Linked DNA regions of Drosophila melanogaster. The protein of the gene in region 2 interacts with the protein of the main gene of each other region in a pairwise test. Each region holds a gene or a part of one and is shown on either strand. Other genes may lie near its edges.

What was found. The genes of interacting proteins can lie anywhere in the genome.
Region 1: the proteins of RnrS (region 2) and C15 interact in a two-hybrid assay, tested with the Drosophila melanogaster proteins (one large-scale study listed by BioGRID).
Region 3: the proteins of RnrS (region 2) and Acp29AB interact in a two-hybrid assay, tested with the Drosophila melanogaster proteins (one large-scale study listed by BioGRID).

Annotation. Positions count from the first base shown.
Region 1 is NT_033777.3:21,498,130-21,503,003, forward strand, and holds the start of C15 (C15), read left to right. Parts: upstream 1-1,856; 5' UTR 1,857-2,128; coding exon 2,129-2,301; intron 2,302-4,124; coding exon 4,125-4,540; intron 4,541-4,874.
Region 2 is NT_033778.4:11,982,643-11,987,309, reverse strand, and holds RnrS (ribonucleoside diphosphate reductase small subunit), read left to right. Parts: upstream 1-1,916; 5' UTR 1,917-2,043; coding exon 2,044-2,094; intron 2,095-2,242; coding exon 2,243-2,491; intron 2,492-2,999; coding exon 3,000-3,881; 3' UTR 3,882-4,165; downstream 4,166-4,667. Other genes in the region: rho-7 (rhomboid-7), read left to right, coding at 1-29, 84-283, 348-438; CG34231 (uncharacterized protein), read right to left, coding at 596-849, 903-1,047, 1,147-1,239; GalT1 (beta1,3-galactosyltransferase 1), read left to right, coding at 4,586-4,667. UniProt on the Drosophila melanogaster protein: Provides the precursors necessary for DNA synthesis. Catalyzes the biosynthesis of deoxyribonucleotides from the corresponding ribonucleotides.
Region 3 is NT_033779.5:8,391,938-8,395,147, reverse strand, and holds Acp29AB (accessory gland protein 29AB), read left to right. Parts: upstream 1-1,925; 5' UTR 1,926-1,936; coding exon 1,937-2,641; 3' UTR 2,642-2,692; downstream 2,693-3,210. Other genes in the region: Peritrophin-15b, read left to right, coding at 267-276, 344-615; lectin-29Ca, read left to right, coding at 878-1,588; CG42820 (uncharacterized protein), read left to right, coding at 2,853-3,210. UniProt on the Drosophila melanogaster protein: Responsible for physiological and behavioral changes in mated female flies.

The DNA of each region.
Region 1 (4,874 bases), on a different chromosome or scaffold from region 2:
GGCGGTACGAAGAGAAATGGAGTTCGCCTCGTGACTTTTTCCAGAGTCCTTTCCACTGCCAAGTGGTGTGCGTGTGCTTTTGTGTGCCTTGCCAATTGAATATGCAGTAATTGCCTTTCTTCATTTTTGGCCATGATTTTTTGCTCGTGTCTGACACAGAAACATGGCCAGTTAAGTGCAGAAATGAATATTTATAGTCGTTACTTCTAGGATCGGACTCCGTTTAAATGCAAAGTGAACGGTTTGATTCTGCAGCCCACTCTCAAGAAAAATTGAATAATAATCAAATTATGAATAATGATATTATAAAGATAGGTAAAGATATGTAGATATAATTAACTAACATAATTTAACATTGAACAAAAAGCTGCATATGCAGCTTAAAACCAGTGATCAATATGTACATACATTGGCACTCTTTTAAATCACAGAATAGTATTTGTGAGGTACAATATAAGACCTTAAAGCAAATCATGTTTAAGAGTAACCAAACTGTGCAAGTAGAGATATAGTAACCCTTTATTATGAAATATAGATATAATTATCCTCTGACCAGTAGCGAATCTCCTAAGCGTAGTAATGCATTATCCAAGTTATCGCAAATAGGATTTGGGATTTTCATAACATTGCCTTATTCTGAAGGGGTTCACATTCCACATCTCGACTCAGCTATCTCAGCTAATGAAAACGGAGTACGCAATCGCTTCTGGCCACACACACGCATTCCATCCAGGCCGGCTAGAACAACACCTGAAACTGAGACTAAGACTAGGACCGAGATCCCGGCCAGCGATGAGCAGTAACATGGCTCGTGCCCAAGAAAAACTGTCAATTAACCCGTGGGGTGAACTTGTGGAAAATGCCAGAGCTGCTGCATCCACTGCATGCCGCGCAATTTGCATTCGCATGGCCGGGGCAAATGGATTGGATTCCTGTGGCTTCAGCTCGAGTCTGCTTATCGCAATCGCCGCCTGCCAAATGCCAGGCGATAGCGCGTAGAACTCTTGGCGCTAATAAAGATCTCAGTAGTAAGCGGTGTGAGGTGGTGAGGGGTGACATTAGGCGGTGGTGCAGGGCAGCCCTCCTGGCCAAATCCGCTGCTTTGTGAACTCAAGCTGACAGAACGCTATTTCCAATTGTGCTATTAATCTGCCACATTTGCACTTCCGCGGAAAAGAGTCGGCGGGCGGATGTGATCTCTTTCGCTCGTCAGTTGGCTGACTCGCTCTGCAGGGGTGATTTGCGGGCGAGCGAGTGAGACAGAGCGAGGCAGAGTGGTAACGCTTGGCTAACCTGAAAATAGAAACAATCGAAATAAAAATACATTCTCTTCATGCTCTCGTCTAATAAAAAACCCCAAAAGCAAAACGTTTTCCATTTAAAATGTCGTCGCAACTGCCAGCGGGAAGTGGACGTCGAGAGTGGCAAGTGTGTGGGGCAAACTCCGGCCAGCGGCCAATGGCGGTTGGCCGAGGCCACGCCCCGTGGCTCAATTACCGACCAGTGCTGCCCATCGGCGGGCAGAGCGAAACCTGTTTCCACGAGCGAGAGGCAGTCAGGCGCATGTGCGATCAGAGCGGGATGGATGGCTCAAGGGTGGACCAACCAGAAGAGGCAGGTTGCTGGTATTATGGTAGGTTAGGTTCAAACAAGGTGGCAAACTGGCTCTTAACCGAAATAGGAAGGAAGTCGGCAGCGGCGTCGACGTCGGGCAACTGGTTTGACTTGTTTCCGGCTCACTCCAACAGCCCAAACCCACCAGCAATCGGCAGAGGCAGCCAAGTCGGCAGAGGGCAGGCAGAGCAGCGGCCGTCGGCACAATTTGATTGCATTTATGAAAAGCGTTTTCGCCCGCTAGCACGCGTCCGCTCCCAGCTCGCAATTCGCCATCCGTAATCCGTAAACTTTAATCCGTAGACCGTAATCCGTGAATCCAAAGCAGTTCTCAGTTGGAATTTCCCGCAACGGGTAGTGCTTAAGCGCGGAAACTGAATTGAAATCAATCGGACGATTAGTGTGTGCTTCGCGGTTGAAACACTCTACATCTAACTATTAAGAGAAAAGAGTGCCCAATAAGATTCGAAAAGTGCAGTGAGCGAGCTCCAAATTGGCGCCACTAATTGCCAAAATGTCCAGCCACGAGGAGGATGACCATGAGCACGAGAACGAGCACGGCGAAGAGGTGGAGGAACAGGAGATCCACGTGGATGTGGACTCGGACTCGCGGATGTCATGTGGCAGCGGATCCGATGTGGATATGGACGGCGGCAGCTGCTACGACGAGTCCGAAACGCCATTGAGGTGAGAAGGAGAGCTTTTAAATAGAACCAGGAAGTAGGAAAAATGTCCCAAAAATATAGATATTATCAGTATAGATATACCATAAATAAGCAGATCTTCCAATTACAATAAGACTTCTACATATACATACATATATTATTTTTTTAACTAGATTGTGATAAAATGCTTTGGCTTCCGTACTACTTACTTAAAACTGAAGAGGCCTTTTTTTTTAAAATTCATTTTGGTAAATATTTTTCAAATATGAATAACGTCTGAATTTATGTACGTTGCAAAATCGAACAATAAAAAATATTTTTGGTTTAATTGTATCGTAAATAATCTGCTACACTAAACTTGAAAAGAGATTGCATCTCTATTAATAATAATAATGGCTTTACTTTCAAATTATACGATGTACAAACATAATAATTGGTCTGAAACAATTCATTACGGAAAATCCCCAAAAAAAATATATTAAAGAAAAAGCTCAGTTTTTCGTTTACTCTTGATGGTTATGATCATCATGCAAATTAATAAATATTTTTTTGTAAGTACTGGGCTTGATTTAGTTGGCCACATTATTCGTTAATTACTCATAAGTCAAAATTTAGATCGACAGCAATTTGATCGACTAACTGAGAGAAAAAGATCTATAAGCTATAGTTATAATAGTTGGCATACAGTCTTATTTTATTGCCCTATAAAAGTCAAACAAGTATTGTGGCGGAGAAAAGCTATTTGCATTTGTTATTACGAGCTCATAACTCCCACTGTTTTACGATCTTTAACATTGTCACTCATAATGCTCACAAATCCTATTTTTCGAATCGTGGCTCAACGCCATTGAAATGCGTTGATGTTTAAGCCCCATTGTCCGCTCTTACAAATGGTCCCATTTTCCAGCGACAAAAGGGGATAACAAGATGCCAGAGCATCCAGCAGACCGTGTTAACTGATCCCATTCAAGCGTTTGTGCGCTTAGAAGAACAGTGTGAACAAACCTCTTAAACGCTAATGAATTGACCACAAAGCCACCAAAAGAATCAAGTCGAAATGTCCCATAAAGTGCCAAAGAAACTCCCTGAATTTACATAGTTCACGGATGGCCAGGGTTTCCAATAGACGACGACGATAAAACGCACATTAGTAAGGCGCCAAAAACGGGCTGTGATAAGACATTGGGGTCCATTTGGGGCTCAATCTGGAGTTGGATCTTCGGCTTGAATGCCGGACAAAGACGAAATCGTTTGTCGGATTAACATTTTAATAGAGATCGTCATAAAAATGCCATAAAACCCGCGTTCCAGCGAATGTAGATCACCAGATAGCAGCAAGTTTTGGCCAGTGAAATAATATGTGTTTGCTCATAACTTTTGATATTGGAAAGTGTCTGTGTGTCGGTGGTTGGCGATTTGAGATCATTGTTCCGATACAATTCCATTCCTGTTCCAAATGGGTTTTTACTTTTTGGATTTATAAATTAAATGCCGTGCGTGACTTGTTTTCGGTGCGTCAGTTGATGGCATTTGATGATTTATGGGCGCGTATTAAATGCCTCTAACGGCCGTCAGCATTTGCATAATTACTTCATTTCCAGCCGCATTGCGTATACGCAGCGGTGGCCACACGGGTTCTGCATGTCATGTCGTCAACTCGGCTTATCCGCTCGCGTGGGCTTTTGGTTAGTGGTTCCGAGACTGGTACGCACTGCAACAGACTTAATTATAGTCAATGTTCTCAGGCTTTCCCGCTTATCGGGCGACACATTTTAATGAGCCCGCACCTCCAGAGGGCTTCTTTCCCTTCGATTCTGATGTCTTTTCTCCGGTTTTTATTCCCAGCGAGTCCCTGCAGTCGGAGCAGACGCGCTCCTCGTCCAGTGAGAATCTGCCCTTCAGCATATCACGCCTGCTATCCAAGCCCTTCGAGACGAGTCACCACCACCACAACAACAACAACCACCTGCTCAGCAGCAGTCCGGGCTCCAGCAGCAACAACAACAACAGCGGCGAAAAGGGCGAGGAGAAGGAGCTACTGCAGCAGGAGGACCACGACCTGGCCTATAAGCTGGCCACCAGCATCGCCAACTCGACATACGGAAGCGCCGCAGCACTATACTCGTATCCGCATCTCTATCCCTCAGCGGCCGGCGGTCATGTGCTACGTGTACCGCCCCAGAGAACGCCGCTCACCTGGGCACTACCGCCACTGCATCACGCGGCGCTGGCACATCAGGCGGTCAAGGATCGGTTGGCAGGTGAGTGAATAGCAGCGAAGTCAAGAGGGTTTGCCAAATCCAACCCATTCGGGGCCCCCATGTCGGGATGGCCCATGTTCGCCGAGATCTTTCGGGGGAGCGATCCTCCAATGACCCGCGGTGGCAATTGCTACTGTTCCCCAAATAAGCACGATCAGAGAAGACTTTTAAGGCAACATGCCTATCGGCATGTCATTGTTGGCCAACACATTCGTGCACCAAGAGAAAATGTGGCATTTGAAATAAAAGAATTGGTAACATTAAGAATAAAAATGTTATATATGTGCCTACATAACGCGTAGTTGGATGCATTCAATTGTGCAATAGGGTGTAG
Region 2 (4,667 bases):
CGAGTCAGGCGGGGATGTCCCTGGGTGCGGTAAGACAGCCTTTATTCCACGTAGTATCTATAAACTTAAAGCTCTTCCCTTAGTCTGGAGCTATAATGACACTGCTGGCCTATGTATGCACCCAGTATCCGGACACACAACTTAGCATTCTCTTTCTACCCGCGTTGACATTCTCCGCTGGAGCTGGTATTAAAGTGCTAATGGGCATCGACTTTGCTGGCGTCGTGATGGGCTGGAAGTTCTTCGATCACGCAGCGCATTTGGGCGGCGCCATGTTTGGCATGTAAGTTTGGCGTGTATGTTTATACCATCACAGGTTGTCTTATTAATCCTACGGTAATTTACAGCTTTTGGGCCACGTATGGGGCACAGATATGGGCAAAGCGCATTGGTCTACTGAATTACTACCATGACCTGCGCCGGACGAAGCAGAAATAGTACAGGAGGCTTGGGGATTCGCCAAGTGAACGGACGGGGAGCTGAGGCAATAGAGCGGTAGCGAGTAGCACTACGCTGTGTCAATAAGAGTGACATCGTTCTGCCTTAGAAGTTCATTGAAATCAGTTAAGTTGAATAAATCGTTGACATCCTGTACTCATGTGGTTTCCCGGCTCTTTTTTGGAACTTGTGTTTGATCCTTCTGATTTCTTCGAATACGAAAAGCTACTTCGTGCCTGCGCTGCTGAATCTTCTCCCTAAGTTCCTCAAGGGATTCTCGTTCTGGAGCGTATGATATGTGCAAGATTCCACCATAGAACTGATGAGCATCGAGCATTTTCTTGGCTCTTCTCGCCACCTCAAGGCGCTCGAACTTCACGGCAAACACATCTGTAAAAGCTTCCAGATCCACTGAAACAAAAGGAACACTATATAAAAAAGATCTTGAACAGGGATAATCATACTTTTTGAAGCCATCTCTGAAGTTACCGAAATACATGATTGCACTTTACCAAATCCTTGTAGTTTCGTCCTGAGATTAGCTTGAAGATTTATTTTAGGTACCCCAAAGATCAGCAAATGACGGGACTCACTAGCAACTGTATAAACCTACAAAGGATAAAAAACACAATAAAAGTACAATAAAACATTGCTATTACTATAAAGCTATTACTAAACTATTACTACTAAACATTACTATTTCCCCACCTTGACAGCTTTCAATTCGCGGCCCTGACGGTATTTCAATCTTGTAGTGCAGTATTCCAGACGTTTGTGGTGTTCAGAAGAAGAGGCTTCCATATTCAGGATATTAAAAACAAAACTACAACTAAACGGATTTGTTTATTATTATTTTCAAGTCCACGATTAAACGTACTTATCGATAAATATCAACAGCCAGCTGTTATGTTATTGTACTGTTATTTACATGATTCGCTGTAATGGAATTCATTCAAAGTTGTTGAATTGAGTATGTTAGCACCTGTTGCATTTCCAAATAATTCGAGATTTCCAAAAAAAAAATTAATTTTAAGTCAATGTCCTTGGAAAAAAATTTTAACTTTGTTTCACCTTGATTTTTTATCTAATTGTAGCAAGAGGACCAAATTTTTTCACTCAAAACTAATTAAGTGGCGTTTCATCAGCTGTTTTCTGGATTAGTCTAGGGTTGTCTCATTGCATGAAATATCGATGATAAAAAAATTTCAAAATTTATTTAGTATTTGAAACTATTAATATTAATATTTTTCAAGTGACAAGCTGGGAAGCTAAACATAAAATTGTGCAGTAAGGATTCGATTTATGGTTTAAGAAAAGAAAACTACCACCCCATAATTGCATTAGATTTACCCTAAATTTATAAAAAGTGAATTGACGCACTCGACAGCCCTGATTTTCCCATAGTTTTCCCATCACCAAAAATGGCGGCAAATCGAAACAGTTTGCCGCCCGGCATAAAACCCAATGTAGCTGTATTTCCCAGATCATTTGCCACACAACTTTCAAACTGTACACTTAATACACGTCGTGGTTTAAGTGAATTTTACCAGAGAATCAGAGAAGCGCCCCTACCTGCTAATAATAATCCATTCAAAAACATCTCAAATGGCGTCCAAGGAAAACATTGCTGACAACATGGAGAAGTTCTCGCTTAAGGTAATCGACACGCAAATAAAGTTCACAGCTATACATAGACGTAATACCGCGATCAGTGCGCTTGTGTTGATTTCCCTAGGGAAAAGTGCTACGCAGCGGAAAAATACTCATGCTTTAGTTGGCCTTCTTTGTTTTTCGTTGTTAACAGAGCCCGAGCAAGAAGATTCTGACGGATAGCACCAACAACGTTCGCAAGATGTCCATTGGACACGAGGCAAACGGACAGTTGGCCAAGGAGTCCTCCACCGTGAATGGCATCGGCAAGTCTGCCAATTCCCTCATGGAGAAGTCCGTAACCCCCTTCGACCCGTCGCTGGAGCCCCTTCTGCGCGAGAATCCCCGACGCTTCGTCATCTTTCCCATCCAGTACCACGACATCTGGCAGATGTACAAGAAGGTGTGTATACCATACATATAGCAAAACACTGTCCATTTGCATTGGTGGTGAAAATCTATTTTTTGGGCGGCAAAATATCAAAAGGGCGGGCATTTCGAGATAAAGCGCGCCAAAAGCCGGTCACGTACTCAACGTGGTTGATTACACGAATCAGACTTTATGATAGCTTCGTTTGGTTAAACAACCCCCTCCCACATTTCTCGACCCTCCCTTTCCGCTGATTCACTGCATCACGGTTTACTCAATGTCAACAATAGCCTTCGTTTTTGGCGGGAAATGCAGCACATAACGATCACATACTATACCATTTTATGTAGCCAATTACATTTCCCCGCCGCTTTTAATTGCTTTGTAGTAACTTTGTTTACATTTTAATTGCATTTTAATTGATAAGCTCGTTGTGCACGATGACATTTCTTGAAAACTTGTTAAAGTGGAAAATGAAAAATAATAAATTTATACAGTAATTATCTCTTTTAAAATTGTAACTTTTTTTTTTAATGTGCAGGCTGAGGCTTCTTTCTGGACTGTCGAGGAGGTGGATTTGTCCAAGGACCTTACTGATTGGCACCGCCTGAAGGACGACGAGCGCCATTTCATCTCGCACGTGCTTGCCTTCTTCGCCGCCTCCGACGGCATCGTAAACGAGAACCTGGTGGAGCGCTTCAGTCAGGAGGTGCAGATCACGGAGGCACGTTGCTTCTACGGCTTTCAGATCGCCATGGAGAACGTGCACTCGGAGATGTACAGTGTTTTGATCGACACTTACATCCGTGATCCACACCAGCGAGAGTACCTGTTTAACGCTATCGAAACGATGCCGGCTGTGAAGCGCAAGGCAGACTGGGCCCTGTCCTGGATCTCCTCCAAATCGGCCAACTTCGGGGAACGCATCATCGCCTTTGCCGCCGTGGAGGGCATCTTCTTCAGCGGCAGCTTCGCTTCCATTTTCTGGCTTAAGAAGCGAGGTCTGATGCCTGGATTGACCTTCTCCAACGAGCTTATCTCTCGCGACGAGGGCTTGCACTGCGACTTTGCCGTGCTGATGTTCCAACACCTGGTGCAGCGACCCAAGCGCGAGCGCATCATCGAGATCATCCGCGACGCGGTGGCCATTGAGCAGGAGTTCCTTACCGATGCCCTGCCCGTCAATTTGATTGGCATGAATTGCGACCTGATGTCCCAGTACATTGAGTTCGTAGCGGACCGTTTGCTCGTGGAGTTGGGCGTTGGAAAGATCTACAACACCAAAAACCCCTTTAACTTCATGGAGATGATATCGCTGGATGGAAAGACCAACTTTTTTGAGAAGAAGGTGGGGGAGTACCAGCGCATGGGAGTGGTCAGCAACCCCCTGGACAACGTGTTCACCCTGGACGCGGATTTCTAGGGCTGGCCCCGGACATCATTGTTGCAATTTAAACCTCTCAAGGGCTGGCTTCTCATCCTTTATATTTTAATCTGACGGCAATTATATGTAGTCCGTTTTAATTTTAACATAGGCTAAGAACAATCACAGACCTTCAACACATTCACCTAATCATTTACTTGGACCTCCAATTACGTTTATAATACTATCTACACACTTGACTTTTACGAGGAGCGTACCTTTTCCGAATTCATTGTACATACAACATTTTAAATAAATTTATACATAGACAATTATTAAGCACTACAAGTAAAATTGAGTTTTAATTATTCTGAAAAAAATCTTCAAAAATTACTGTTTATGCACGATTATATAATAAGAAAATCAATTTCAAAAAAATTTATAAAAAGGATTGGGAAAATTTAAGAATTTAAATAATTCGAATTTCAAATTTTCGATTTCAGTTATATATATGGTAGGTAAACTTATCGATAGTCACGGGCATTTTTACTATCAGCTGTGCTGAACAATCCCATTCGCTGTTTTTATCAATTTGGATAAAATTCTTGTTATTCAGTTATTACCATAAAAAGTATTAGATGTCAATAACAGGAGTGGGCGATTAAATCAACCCAATTCAGCTAGGCGCCCTAATAGTTGATAAAATGCGAACAGTGCATTAAATTGTAGGCGGAGGACCAGTGGCGATAAGTGAATCCAGTCACATGGACAGAAGGTGGAATCCAGAAAAAATCGAGGAGCAGAGCTCCCTCTTGGCAGCGGAATATTCCTCCAGCTCGGGAGCAG
Region 3 (3,210 bases), on a different chromosome or scaffold from region 2:
AACTAAGTATACTACAACACTTGGTGAAATATACTTCTTTGTTTGAAAACGAATTGTACGACGGCGTCAAATGTTCGAATTGTCGAGATACAGATACCAATCGTGATCATGAGATTATTTTTAAACGATTTCATGTTCTTTAAGAAATAGAATGTATAGCTCCGATTGTCTCAGACAATATGTCAGGGAATAGATAGCAGGTGGCTATAAAATGTCGAACGTTGCGTTCCAATCGCATTCGGTATTAATCACTCGAACAAACCACAATGAAAGCAGGTGAGTTTCATTGATGACCTCACATCGCTGAAACCATTGAGATGCCAATAGCGGAATTCTGTTTCAGCTTTAGTCCTTCTCTTCCTGACCCTCTGCGTTGCCATCTACGCCGACCTTGACTGCAATCCCGATGGCAATGGTGAGCCCGATTGCGTGGGACGCTCCGGAGAGATTTCCCGTGACTTCTGGGATCCAACCCACTACTGGCAGTGCTCTAGCACCGGACAGGCCGAGCTAGTTGCCTGCGAGCAGAACACTGGATTCGATCCGAAAACTGGAAGCTGCGTCGATTGGAGCGTTTGGCAGTGGTATCCTCCATGTTCCGAAGCATCCACTTAAGCAATAAACTTCTCTTGCAGTTTATACGTTTTTCATTAACTTTTTTTGGTTCATTTGTAATGGTATTTAACTGGGAAGATGGGCTTGAATGAAGTCTAGAATATATCTCTAGATTTCTCGGATCTTTATCGAATTTTTAACAGAGTATTTAATGCTTGAAAAGGTTAATGTTCCGGGTGATTATCTCGTTGGGAAGTGTAAAAAAAAGGGTTAGTCCGAGGAGGAATTAAATAATTGATCTCACAGACTATTAGCCCTCGAAATGTACAAGTACGCAACTTGCATTTTCTCCATTTTCGCTTTATGGAACTTTTGGGGCGTCAGTGCCAAAAAGCAGGATACTTCCACAGGAACAAATGAATTGCCAAAAGCACCAATGCCGTATTATACAATCGAGAATATTGATATGCACCAGCAGCACTGGTTTACCTACAATTCGCTAAGACAAAATGGAACTTTGTGGAGAATTGGTAATATGGAGCAACGCTTAGAAATGCGATTGCAGTCCTTTCAAAACCAGATGGAAACTAAACTTCGGGCTCTAAAGCAACAAATTGAACCCTACATGGAAAACGTTAAAATGTCCAACAAAATCAAAATGTCCGTATTCAAGAAGATTGGCTCCCGGCACTTTTACTTAGAAAAGCAAAAGAAGATGCCCTGGGATAGCGCATACGACACGTGTCGTCAAATGGGCGGTCACCTGGCGAATATCCTCGATGAGAAGGAGCTGAATGAAATATTCTCAGAGGAAACCAAAAAAAAGTACTGGGTAGATATCAACAGCCGTGCCAACGATGGAGCGTCCTGGATTTCTACACTATCCGGAAGGGATGTACCATTTCTGAAATGGAAGCCAAATCTGGCCACAAATATACATAACCATTGCGTGTATATCAATTCCAATGAAATGTACTTTGAAAATTGTGCCAATGATAACTATTTTGCTTGCCAAGCCGAGCAATGGGCCTGAATATCGAGCATTGATTTTTAGAACTATTTTAAACTTTAAATGTGACTTTGATAATAAAGGTTTAAAAATTGAACTCCTTTAAACTTTAATATGTATTTTTTTTAAATCATCAAAATTGCAATGTGTCTTTAATAATAAAGCTATTAACTTTAGGCATTTTATATTTTTTTTTTTCAATACACCATAGTAGATTTTCATTTTTTTTAATTTTTCCAGCCTTTTTGCTTTTCACAGTGATGCTTTAAAACGGTTACATTATCATTAAAAAGCGTGACAAAATTAGTTGAGCTCATTGGAAGTTCTTTAGCCAGATTGGATCTCACACGCTTGAAATCTTCCAAACTGGACATGTACGCATCTAACCTCTTATACCTGTTGGCATTATGGAACCTTTGGGATCTCAGTGGTGGGCAGCAGGACATTCCGAACGGAAAGGCTACATTGCCAAGTCCACAAACGCCGCAAAATACAATCGATCAGATTGGTATTAACCAGAATTATTGGTTTACATACAACGCGCTTAAACAAAACGAAACATTGGCAATTATTGATACAATGGAAATGCGCATAGCAAGTAGCTTGCTGGAGTTTAAGGCCCAGATGGAAATCCAGCTTCAGCCGTTAAAGATTATAATGCGACACCATGCATCCAACATCAAAGCGTCTAACAACATCAAGATGAGACGATTCGAGAAAGTTGGCTCCAGACATTTTCACATCGAGAAGAATCTAATGCAAACTTGGTTTGAGGCATATGTCACATGTCGTAAAATGAACGGTCATCTGGCGAACATCCAGGATGAGATGGAGCTGGATGGCATCTTGGCGTTAGCACCCAACAATAGCTACTGGATAGATATATCCAAACTGGTTGAAAATGGCGGCACATTCGTCTCCACCCTAACCGGACGAGAACCCTTCTTTGTCAAATGGAAGAGTAATCAGGATACAAAAAAAAAGAATCAATGCGTTTACATCTATGCTAAAGAGATGTCCTATGATGAGTGTTTTGAAAAAAAATCTTTCGTTTGCCAAGCAGACCAGTGGGCCTAAACATAAAGAAAATATTGTTTTGTAGCTTGAATAAAAAAAAACAGCTCGTTTAATGATTTTATTGTATATGAACACAGTGTAGACAGGTCTGCACTGAGTATTATTTCCAAATTCACTCATTCAAGCTATTTGCAACACCCACAAAATTTACCAAGTTTCTTAAATTGTTTGTTCTTCGTTTTACTTGTGAATTTATCCACTTGCTAGGAACATGGTAAAGAATACAGGTGTTGATTTGGGACTACCCGTGGCTAGTTGGTATCGTGGTCTATCGCTCGATCAGATGCAGGCGGCCGATGAGCTGGGAACGGCACTGCAATTCGATATTAGGTCCATTCGGGATTGTCTGCTGCGCCTGGGAGTGCAACCTTTGATCAGAAATCGTGAACTCCATAGAATTTGGCGTTTCAGTCGTGGCCAGAAACTGGCCTTTCTCTACTTTCTATTCCAGGAGCACTACGACACCGGCACTTCGTGCGGAAAGTACTCAGTTAATGGACAACTTCTGCTCTCGGCCATCGCCTATCTGGATTTGCCTGCAACTTTTCGAGCTCTAGACAAAGTGCTAC